3 linked regions of the Notamacropus eugenii genome follow. The protein of the gene in region 1 purifies or fractionates together with the protein of each later gene. This does not show direct contact. Links are inferred from orthologs where the notes say so. Each region holds a gene or a part of one and is shown in the gene's direction. Other genes may lie near its edges. The genes, in order: BCL7A, PBRM1 and ARID1B.

Region 1 (3,741 bases):
AAACCTGTCCAAACAGCCCCTTCCCCTTTGTCCGCTGCAAAGTCAGGGATCCCGGGGAAGGAGCCCGGGGCGCTAGCGCTTGGCCCCGCGGCTCGGTTCAGGGCTCAGGATTCTCAGGCCAGGTGAGGCAGCTACTTAAACAGGCAGGTAAAGGATCTGGGACGGGTGGCCAGGTCAGAGTTCCCCAGTCACGAAGACAACGCGGGGGAGGGAAGGGATTCGTCTTCTTTTCCTTTCTCGCCCTACTTTTTAGACAAAGGGGAGAAAACAGCTGTAACTTTTCCAGAATGAAGTTTGCAGCCTTCCGGCTGCGGACGTAGGGAGGCCCGCAGGAAACTTGCAGCAGCGCCCGGGGAGCGCAGGCCAGCCCGGGCCGGGAAGCGAGCGAGCCGGGCCCCCGCGGCCCCGGGACGGCCCCCGAGGCTCGGCAGCGGAGCCTGCCGCAGCGCTCGCTCGGGGCGCTTTGGGGGAAGGATGGCGCGGGGGGGGGTCGATCTGGAGGCGCAGAAGGGGCGGGGGCCCGTGGCAGGGCCGCCCGCGGGTCACCCCCCTTATGGATGGATGGATCTATTGGCGCCGCACGGGCCGCCTCCGGCCCGCGGCCGTGACCCCGCCGCCGCCGTCCGGGCCGTCCGTCCGGGCCGCCCGGGCCGCGGGCCCTGCTCGCTGCTGCCTCTGCCGCCCCGGCCCGGAGCTGCTGCGGCTGCCCCTCCTGCCGCCGCTGGGCGCCTGCGCACTGGGCCCGGAGCGAGCGGCGGCAGCAGGCTTTGTGTGTCTGTATGTGTGTGTGTGTGCGAGTGTGTGCGTGCGTGCGGGAGTGTGTGTATGTGTGCGAGTGTGTGAGCGAGTGTGTGGATGCATGCGTGTGTGTGTGTGTGTGTGTGTGTGTGTGCGTGCGAGCGAGTGCGCGGCCGGGGAGGGGAAAGCGAGCAGGGCCAGGGCGCGCTCCAGCAGCCTCGCTCGCCTAGCCAGCACCATGTCGGGCCGGTCGGTTCGAGCCGAGACCAGGAGCCGGGCCAAAGATGATATCAAGAGGGTCATGGCGGCCATCGAGAAAGTGCGCAAATGGTAAGGGGGGGCGGGCCCCCCCGGAGGGCCGGCGCGCGTGTGTGCGCCGGGGGGGCCCGGGCCGGGCCGGGCCGGGGAGGGGCGGTGGGAGGGGGCCGAGCCCGGGTCACCTGCCCAGGGGGCGCCCGCGCCGGAGCCGAGCCGAGCCGGAGCGGAGCCGAGCGGCTGCCCCAGGTGCGCTCGCGCCGCGGCTCGGGCTGCTCCCCGCCCCACCTGGCGCGGCGGCGGCGGCGGCGGCCCCGAGCCCGGCCGTGCGCGAGCCCGCAGCCCGCAGCCCGGAGCCGCTCCCCGGGGCGGAGGCAGCGGCGGCGGCGGCGGCGGCGGGGAGGGGAAACCCAGGCAGGACCCAGAAGCCATTTCGTTCTCCGCGAGTCACATGAAGGCTGCTTTTTGTGCGGCCGCCGCGGGGCCCGGGCGGGATGCGCCGCGCTGCCGGGCTCCATTGTGCCGCCGGGGGCTGGGGGGTGCGCCTCCCGCGGCCCCCGCCCCTCCCCCGCCGGCGCCCCGCGGTCTGCCGAGGCCGCCGAGCGAGCGGGAGCCGGGAGCCGCGCTGGGGCCGGGCCGACCCCCACCCCCTCCGGCCGGGAGCGAGGCTGGTCAGTTTCCTCGTAATTGACCCGGGCGCTGAGAAGCGTCTGCCGGGTCCGGCACCGAGCGCGCTGCTTCTGCCCCGGAAAAGAGGGGTGCTGTGAAACGGGGCGGGGTGTGAATACAGCCCAGCCGGCTCTTATTGGGGGGCAGCCGCCTCGTGCACGGAGATGAAGGCACTCGGCTTCTGATCGAAACTTGGCTTCTTGTTAACCTTGGGCTGGTTTGGCTCCAGCCGGGGGGGACGGTGGTCCGCTAGTGACTGGGGGCGCCCACCTTGTCCTAACGCCGGCGTGTGCGGGCTTGGCCGAGCCCACCTGGGTGGAACTCTAACCCGCGTGCCCCTCGTCTCAACTTTGCTTTCCCATGCACTTACCAGCCCCCTCCCCCTTGGCCTGTGGGCTGGGAGGGAGGAGTGTTCCCAGAAGTTCGCTGGACCGCTCTATAATGTTTCAGGATGTTTTGACCTATATATAAACACGAATGCGTACAACTTTAGGCTTGGCTGACAAGTTCAGGGCATAGTGTTGCTTTTTTTAAAGTAAAGTCCCCTCTCCTGTTAAGGTCGCACTGGAAGCAGGGCTCCCTCGTAGGTTGTCAGAAGTTAGCAGTTACCCTCTTGAGCCAAATCCGACCGGGATAAAAAAAAGAAAAAGGGGGAAAAAAATCAATAACGTCCACGTGCTCCCAGCCCTCCTATTGAAATGGGTTGCCTCCGAGTGGCTAGATGCCGGGACAATGGGCTGATTTGGCTTACCAGGGGACAAAGAATATTCAGAACCATGAGAAGCGGCTTGTGAGGCTCGGCTGTTCCAGTCCATTCTGACTCACAACCCTGGTGTTAAAGGGATTACCAAATTCCGGAAATGCATCCCTACAAAATGATTTTTAAAAATCCGCCAACCACCAAAAACCAAAAACTTATCCGAGAACCTTCTTCTGTTGTATGATGGGTTGGGTCAGATGGGAAAGTTTTCCCTTAAGAAAAGTGTACTTTCTCCGTGTCCCTTTATCTGTCACCAGGGACACCCGGAGCCCAGCACTTTTCTCACTGCATTCGAATCCAAACCTACAAATATAGAGTGGACACATTACTCTCCTGTTCTCTTGTCACCTCGCCTGTGCCCCCTACCCTCCCCATTCAGAGGAGGACCTTGTGGAGGGCCCCAGCGACCTGACAGCTGCTCCAGCTGGTTGCTTATGAGGCTCTCAGCTGCCCAGCAGGACTCCCCAGCTGCCTGCACCAGGGCAGATGGAGCCACCTCACTTCAACTCCGAGGGGCTGTTCCTTGTGCCCATCCTAGAATTCAGCCAGCTTGGGGAATGTTTATTTTCTTCTTTGACTTAATCCAGAGGTCAAAGCTAGAGCTCTTATCATCTCCTGGCCGGCCGATTGTCATTTTGGTTTTTTAGAATTTCTTTTTGGGATCTGATTTTGAGGCTGGCTCCCCACCTCCACCTTGCTTTTGTTACCAGATAAGATTTTTGGAGTGGGCCTCATTACTCTGGACCCTTTCCTCCCCGCAGTGACCATTGTTTTGAGTTTTTGAGTTGAGCTCTGAGGATGTGGGGGCTCTAGACAAGCAAGGTCCATAATTATATCTTAACTGGACTCAGGGCTGACAGGAAATTTGCAGCACCTTGGTACTTGGTACTGGTCCTTTCCGGAAGATCTGGTTTGGTGTATCCTTTGGCTTAAAAGTTCCACAGCAGCAACCCTTCAAAAAAGTTACCCTTCCACTGTATCCATCTCATCAAGGCTCTTCACTTCTAAAGGTGAGGCCTACCACCCCATTTCCTTCTATTGCAATAGCAAACCCATAGTGGCATTTCCACAATCCAAAAACCTCAATGGTTATACAACACTACTGAAAGATTCTGTGGGAGAAAAACAAAGGTGGTGCCTGCTTTGATGGACCAGCCAATGGAGAGGAAGAAGAAACCCAACCCCAGTGGGTTAGAGGTTAAGGGAGAGAAGAGCCCTGCGTCTCCAGAGAGGCAGAATTGTTCTGTGAAATGCTCTGGTAAAGATTAGAGGAGGTGGCACTGGCCCAGGCTGCCTTCCATCAGGGATGCGGGACATAA
Region 2 (3,741 bases), on another chromosome or scaffold:
ACGCCCCCGGGACCGCGCCCCCGCCCCCCCCTCACCTGCCCCCGCCCCCGCCTCACCTGCCCCCGCCCCCGCCTCACCTGCCCCCCCCCCCCCCCCCCCCCCCCCCCGCCTCAGCCTCACCTGCCCCTGCCCCCACCCCCGCCCCCGCCTCACCTGCTGCTTCCGGCGCGCAGCCTCGCGGAGCAGGGCCTCCTTGAACGGGGCGCTGCCGGGCACGCCGGGGTCCTTCCTGGGCCTTCGGGCACCCCCTTTCCGGGCCGCCTTCCGCGCTTTGCGGTGATGCTCCCGCACCTGTTTCAACAAGTCGTTGGGATGGGCTCGGAAATTCCCGAGGTCCCGCCTGCTCGGCGAAAGCAACTTAACGACCCGGACCGGGCCAGACCGGGCCGGACCGCCCCGCGCCGGGCACGTCCCAGGGTGATCAGTGCCCCCCGGAGCGGACCACGACACCCACCTTTCTCTGGATCTTAAACCGCTTACGGCACGTCATGCGCTTACTCGCTTTTCTTAATTCTGGGAACAAGACAATTCAGAGCCGGGTCAGAACCGGGCCGGTGCTCCCTCGTACCTCCGGGGCAAGGCCCAAGGCGTGACCTGACCGCGCGGCCCGGACCGTTCACTTCCCTGCCTTTCGGCCCCTCCGCGCCCGCAGACGAGAGCGTGGCGCGGGGGTGGCTCGATGCGGGCGCTGCCCGGCCTGGCGGGCCGACCACGCCGCAGGGCCCGAAAACCCACCGAGAAGGGGGAAGGGCGAACCCAAGGGGCGCCTCGGCCCAGCGCCGGAGCCCGCCCGCCAGGCCCGCCGGCCGGGGACGAGCGCTCCGGGGCCCCGAGGCTCGGCTCGGCTCGGCTCAGCTCAGCCCAGGCCGCCCCCGCCCCGCAGGCCGCCCGACCCCGCCTCGCAGGCCGCTCCCGCCCCGGCCGCCCCGGGCCCCGCAGGCCGCCCGCCCGGACCACGGACACTCACTAGGCCGCTTCATGGCGCTGAGGAGGAAGCCGCTCCGCGTCCGGCCGGCTCGCACACCACGTGCAGACTGAGGCGCCGCGCCGTCACGACGTGCAGACGCTGCCGTAAAGCGCGCCCGTGCCCCAGCGTCCGCCCCGCCCGCCCGCCCCGCCCCGCGCCAGAACCCGGCCGGGCTCGCGCTCGCGCCCCCGCGCCCTTCGCTCCCTCCGGCGCGGCCCTGCCCCCTCACCCCAGGGCGCGCGCACGCGCACGGTCGCGCGGGGCCGGTCTCGCTTGGCGGCCGTGCGGCTGGCTTTGCGGCGGCGGCGGCGGCGGCACCAGGAGGGAGTCGGAGCCGAGCCGAGAGGGTCTGAGAGCAGGAGCGGGCCGAGCAGCGGCAGCGCCAGCCTAGCCGTGGCGGCCACGGGACGGGGCGCGGCGCCGGCGGTCGGGGACCGCGGCAGGGGCTGCAGGCGGCGGAGCAGCTGGGTAAGGCCGGGGCTCCGGGGAAGCGGCGGCCGCCGAGGAGGCCGCGGCCGCCCGGACGGGCCCCTTTGTGTGGCGGCCCCGGGGACGGGGAGCCCGGCCGAAGCCGGGGGGCCGCCCGCCGCCGCCCGCTCCCCCGGCCCTGCGAGGCGCCCCGCCGAGGACAGGGCCCCCCTCCCCCACCCCCGCCGGGTTCGGGGTCCCCCTCTTCGGGAGGGCCCCCTTCCCGCCTTCCCCCGAGATTCCTGAGTTTCCTAACTCTTCCCGACGCCCCCCTCTCGGGCTCCGGCGCCTCCAGCTTCTGGTTCTGTGAAATGGGGACGAGTCCCGCCCGGCCGGGCCCTCGGGGCCCCGGCGCTCCGGATGTCACCGGGGGGATCCCGGGGCTGGGGAGCCCCCCGCCCCCCCGGACCCGGCCGGACCGAGGCAGCTCAAATGGTGCGAAAGTTGAGAGTTCCAAAGAGCCCGCCACCGGCGGCGGAGACTCCCCCCTGCTGAGCGGCTGGGCCGGGCTGGGGTCTGGGCGGGGGGCGCCTCCCGCGTCCCGTGTCCCCCCAGCTCTGCTTCCCGGCGGGGGACCCTCCTGCGGCATCCCCAGAAATGAGCTGCTCCGTCCTCTCCCCAGAATGCTTTAAGGGGAAGGGCCGGCTCCGTGCTGGGAGCGTCCGGGAGGGCGCCCGGGATTTGAACCCAGAGCTTCCCGCGCGGCGGGGTCTGGTGAAAGATGTTGGAAGGAGGGGCGCTGCGGGGGGACGGGGGGACTCGAGAGGTGCGGGACGGTGAGGGGCCTCCATCTGCGGGGTCCAGGCCTCGTCCCGGTCCAGCTTGGTGCCCCGCGCTGCACCGGGGCCTGGGCCCCCGGGGGGCAGGTTGTCTTGCGTGGGTCCCCTTGGGAATCCCGCGGGCTGACTCCGCAGGGTGTCGGCGCGATCTTGAGGTTCGTTTTGTGAAGAAAGTGCTTGTGTGCGGAGGGGTGCGCGGTGTGTGCGGAGGGGCTCTGAGGGGTCTAAAGTAGAGCTGCTGCCTCTGAGGGGGCTGCGGTGGTGGGAGCGGTGCAGGCGAGTGCGAGAGTGCCCAGGCTGCTGGGCCGCCCCGGGCTCTCTGCCCCGGGCTCCGGCCCCCGCCCCGGGCTCGCTGCCCCGGGCCCCTGCCCCCTGCCCCCCGCCCCGGGCTCGCTGCTCCGGGCCCCGGCCCCCGCCCCGGGCTCGCTGCCCCCGCCCCGGGCTCGCTGCCCCGGCCCCTGCCCCCTGCCCCCTGCCCCCCGCCCCGGGCTCGCTGCCCCCTGCCCCTGCCCCCGCCCCGGCCCCCGCCCCGGGGTGCCCGGCCCTCAGGCAGGCGGCACCCCGCTTCCCTCTTAGCCCCCAAGTTCCTGGCCGCGGCCCGGGCTTTTTGGACGTCCAGAACCGAGCTCCAGAAACTGCCCTTTGGCACCGTGGGAACAGCACCCGCGAAGGGTTCCACATTTTCTTAAGCTGCATAAGTAAATAGCCACTTTTTAAACAAGAAACGTACTTTTTCGTGGACACTCCTGGTTTTTGAAGGTGCCTACAGAAAGTACTCTCAGAAAGTAGAAGTTTGGAGGTTGTCCTCAAGTGGCTTTCCCCCCGTATTTTAAAACTTAGGCCTCAAGTCATATTTTCTATAGACTTACCTAGTTATGTCCTAAAAACCGTAGCCGGACAGTTGGTTAAAGAAACGAAGTTGATCCAAGCACCTCTCGGTGACTGAAGATTTCTCGTTACTCTGTGAAGAAACCTTTTGGCAGGAATCGGTTCCCTAGGTGTTAACTAGTGTTCCTTTGTGCAGCTCTCCGTGGCATCCCTCTTCAGCAGTTCTGCTTCAGTGCTTGCTGTCTGTTCTCGCTCCTTTTACTTCCTCTGACCCTTCCTTTTTATTTTCCCTTTTCTGTCTGTTCTTTTTCAGTTCTGAGCCTAGTAACAGCTCTGCCGACTCAGCGCTTGTAAAGCTCTGCCTTCTCCCACTAGCTTGCCCTGGCCTTCAGACACAATGAGGAGACTGGCTTTTCGAGGCGCTGGTTGTACTCTGGTAAATCTGGTAAATCTCTGGTCCTTTACCCACCCGCTTCCTTTCTCCTGTCTTCCCCTGCTCGCCCTTCACTGCTGGCTTTGGGCCGACCCTTTAAGGAGCCCTTTCTTCTCTTCATCGGACTCCTGGGATTGCTGTTTTTGGATTGCATCAAGAGTATTTCATTATTTTTATGATATATTGAAAGTTTATCCGATTTTTTTAAACTTCATATTCCTGACCTATTTATATGAAATACCTTTTACCCCATTTAAACATTCCAC
Region 3 (3,741 bases), on another chromosome or scaffold:
TTATGACTGGCAGTTAAACTTTCTTCTAAAAGTGGTTTGGATCACACAACACAACACAACTTTAAAATTATTTCCCTTTAAGGAGTGGAGATAAAAAGTGCCTAGGAGAAATACAGATACGACCTAATAAATTTCTTTCTAAAACTATTTCAGATTTGGGAGTTTGTTCTTGTGAACAGCAATATGTGTATTATGGAAATAATATATGTATACATGTGTATATACACAAGAGTGCACATACAACCCATATATCTAGGGAAACAGCCGTGTATACGGAAAACAACACATGCATGTATGCATACATACGTATGCACATGGGGAACACGGATGTGACATGCGTACACAAGGAAACACATGCATGTAAAATGGAAATGCACATAAACCTACACGTGTATTTGTGTGCCTACGTCCCCACATGGGCACAAGAAAGGAACTTTTATTTTTTGTTGATAGCTTTGCATACAAATGTACTAAGATGACCCATAAACAAAGATTATGTTAATAATAAAATCTTTGGGGCAGATGTGGACATTGGTAATTAAACATTTATTGAGCGCTTACTGCATACACAGCACTATCCGTTTTGGACGGAGCTGTATATACTACGCTCTTCTAAAATAAAAATACGGCACCCCATTGCAAACCTGCAGAAAATTCACGAATCCACCTTATTTCGTAGCTTGAGTAAAGTTGTAGCAATCATGTTGCCTGACTTCAGACCAATGCATAACGGGTTAACAGCCTGCAAATTACATAATGAATTCTGAAATAGCTAACGCTCCCCCCCCCCCCCCGACTGCCCAAATATTTTTATTTTTAGTCAGCGCGGTGTAACCTTTGAGCCAGACAGACAACTTTGTTCCCCAATCCGTCTCCTTCTTTTGTCCGCCAGTCAGACCCGTTTTCCACCTTTGTATCGTTCCTTTTAAACATGAAAACAAACACATTAATGCCTAGTTGGCAGGGAAACAGATGCAGAAGGGGAGAGTGCAGGCCCCTCCGGCCCCGCGCCGTGGCGTTAGGAGCGGCTGCGGAGCTCGCTCGGAAAGCCTGCCCCGTCCGTGCCTGCGCCGGGAGTCTCCGCCGCGCGCCGCCGCTCGAGCCGCCCGAGCTGACGGGAGAAGGTAGCTGGAGCTCCGCGGGGAGCGCCGGGGACCGTGCCGGAGGGGGAGGGGGAAGTCCAGTCCGCGTTTTGCGAGTGCGCGGCGGTAATCAGAGAGAAGTGGATAATAGTTGTTCGGGCTCTCTCCGCTCTCTCTCATGCCATGCTGGGCCAGATAGGCTCAGTCAGACGTGTATTTACCCATATCCGGGTTAGAGAGGAAAAGAAAAAAAGTTTCATTTAAACCTCAGCTAAAAACTTTCAACATGAAATCCCACAGCAAGAACAGGCATAGACCGTAAGATATTATTATCGTTTCTAATCTCGGTCCAGGACTTGGGGCGGGGGGGAAGGGGGAGGGTAAAGGGGGGATGTTTTTATTTTCTTTGGGGGTATGTGGACTGGAGACCGAGAGCGGCTGTTTATTAAAAAAGTGTCTTCCTTGTTTTCTCCCTTCCCCTCTCTCTCTCCCCCTCCCCTTTCTTTTGTTTTATTTTTGTTTTGTTCGGGGGGGTGGGGGGGGGTCGGGGGGGCACATTGGACTCGCGATGTTGCAATGATCATGGCCGCGCGAGTAGCATCAGCCCCGGCGGGTGCGGAGCACAGTGATCGGGGCGCCCCGCTCTGCGTCCGTGGCCGGCTCACTTGACCCAGGATCTCCCGCGGGGGGGAGCCGGAGCGGCGGGACCGGGATCCATGCTAGGGGTCGGCGGCGATGGGCCCGGCGGCGGCGGCTTGAATAACGTAGCTCCCCATCCCCTGCACCACCATAATGAACTGAACATGGCCAATAACGCGAGCTCTGCCGCCGCCGCCGCCGCCGCGGCTGCCAGTAATAATAACACGAAGAGCGGCGGCGGCGGCGGCAGCAGCGGCGGCGGCGGCTCGTCCGAGGCGGCCCTCAAGGAAGGTGGCAACGCCGCGGTCTTCTCCTCCTCCTCCTCCTCCTCCTCCGGTGCCTCCTCCTCTTCGTCCGCCCCGGCCATGGAGACGGGGCTGCTCCCCAACCACAAACTGAAAAACGTCGGCGATGCCCCCGCCGCACCTCCCCACCACCAGCAGCACCACCACCATGCCCACCACCACCACCACCACCACCATCCTCACCATCTCCTCCACCACCACCACCACGCATTACAGCAGCAGCTAAGTCACTTCCAGCAGCAGCAGCAGCAGCAGCAGCCCATCTCCAACAACAACCACAGCCTCGTCGCGGTCGGCGGCGGCGGCCACGGAGCGGGGGGCAGCGGCCACGGAGCGGGGGGCAGCGGCGCTGCTGCTGCTGCTGCTGCTGTCGCGGCGGCGGCGGCGGCTGCTGCTCAGCCCAGTCCGGACATGGAGCCCCAGCAACATGGAGGAGGCAAAGACGGGGTTTTGGGAAATCAGGCCGAGCCCCAAGCGCGGCAGCTGCTGAGCAAGGCGGGAGAGGAGGAAGAGCTCCCGACCAAAATGGGGGAGCAGATGGGCGGCCGGTACGAGCACCCCAGCCTGGGAGCTTTGGGCGCGCAGCAGCAGCAGCCGCCGCCGCCGCCGCCGTCGCAGCAGCAGCACCAGCAGCAGCAGCCACAGCAGCAGCAGCAGCAGCAGCAGCAGCCGCCCCAAAGCACCGGGAACGGCAGCGGCGGCGGCGGCGGCGGCAATGGTAGCCTCGGCAGCGGCGGCGGCGGCGGCCCCTCCGCCTCGGTGGGGGTCTCGGAGTTTAATAATTACTATGGCAGCGCTCCCCCTGCGAGCGGCGGCACAGGCAGCCGAGCCGGGCCTTGCTTTGATCAACATGGCGGACAACAAAGCCCCGGGATGGGGATGATGCACCCGGCCGTCGCCGCCGCCGGGCCCCCCAACAGCATGGACCCCTTGCAAAACTCCCACGAAGGCTACCCCAACAGCCAGTACAACCATTATCCCGGCTACGGTCGGCCCGGCGCGGGAGGCGGAGGAGGAGGTGGCGGCGGCGGCGGCGGCGGTGCTGGAGGAGGAGGAGGAGGAGGAGGAGGAGGAGGAGGAGGAGGAGGAGGTAGTGGAGTAGGAGGAGGAGGAGGAGGAGCAGGAGCGGGAGCAGGAGCAGTGGCGGCGGCGGCCGCAGCGGCGGCAGCAGCAGCAGCAGCGGGAGGCGGCGGCGGCGGCGGCTATGGGGGCTCGTCCTCGGGCTACGGGGTGCTGAGCTCCCCCCGGCAGCAGGGCAGCAGCATGATGATGGGCCCGGGAGGCGGCGGCGGCGGCGGAGGAGGCGGCGGAGGCGGCGGCGGCGGCGGCGGCGGGGCTGCTAGCCTGGGCAAGGCTGCCGCCGCCGCCGCCGCTGCCAGTTCTGCCGCGGGAGGCTTTCAGCGCTTCGCCGGGCAGAACCAGCACCCTTCGGGGGCCACGCCGACCCTCAATCAGCTGCTGACTTCCCCGAGCCCCATGATGAGGAGCTACAGCAGCAGCTACCCCGATTACAGCGGCAACCCTAATGCCCCAGGCCAGCAGCAGTCCCAGGCGCAGGGAGCGGCGGGGGCAGCTCCAGGAAGCCAGCAGGCAGCGGCGGGCATGGGCATGGGCAAAGATCTGGGCTCCCAGTATGGAACTGCAAACCCCGGCTGGGCAGCGGCACAACAAAGAAATCATCCAGCTATGAGCCCTGGAAACACTGGACAGACCAT

What was found.
Region 2: the proteins of BCL7A (region 1) and PBRM1 purify together in Homo sapiens (affinity purification with mass spectrometry; 3 studies listed by BioGRID and IntAct, counting the BioPlex papers as one, with this or other methods). This does not show direct contact. The link is inferred for Notamacropus eugenii from reciprocal best matches to the Homo sapiens genes BCL7A and PBRM1.
Region 3: the proteins of BCL7A (region 1) and ARID1B purify together in Homo sapiens (affinity purification with mass spectrometry; 4 studies listed by BioGRID and IntAct, counting the BioPlex papers as one, with this or other methods). This does not show direct contact. The link is inferred for Notamacropus eugenii from reciprocal best matches to the Homo sapiens genes BCL7A and ARID1B.

The regions. Positions count from the first base shown.
Region 1 is NC_092875.1:37,251,026-37,254,766, forward strand, and holds the start of BCL7A (B-cell CLL/lymphoma 7 protein family member A), read left to right. Parts: upstream 1-719; 5' UTR 720-859; coding exon 860-1,068; intron 1,069-3,741.
Region 2 is NC_092872.1:1,729,926-1,733,666, forward strand, and holds the start of PBRM1 (protein polybromo-1), read left to right. Parts: upstream 1-1,264; 5' UTR 1,265-1,435; intron 1,436-3,355; 5' UTR 3,356-3,439; coding exon 3,440-3,487; intron 3,488-3,741. Other genes in the region: GNL3 (guanine nucleotide-binding protein-like 3), read right to left, coding at 154-291, 455-513, 968-980. UniProt on the Homo sapiens protein: Involved in transcriptional activation and repression of select genes by chromatin remodeling (alteration of DNA-nucleosome topology). Required for the stability of the SWI/SNF chromatin remodeling complex SWI/SNF-B (PBAF).
Region 3 is NC_092873.1:250,123,349-250,127,089, forward strand, and holds the start of ARID1B (AT-rich interactive domain-containing protein 1B), read left to right. Parts: upstream 1-1,148; 5' UTR 1,149-1,400; intron 1,401-1,680; 5' UTR 1,681-1,798; coding exon 1,799-3,741. UniProt on the Homo sapiens protein: Involved in transcriptional activation and repression of select genes by chromatin remodeling (alteration of DNA-nucleosome topology).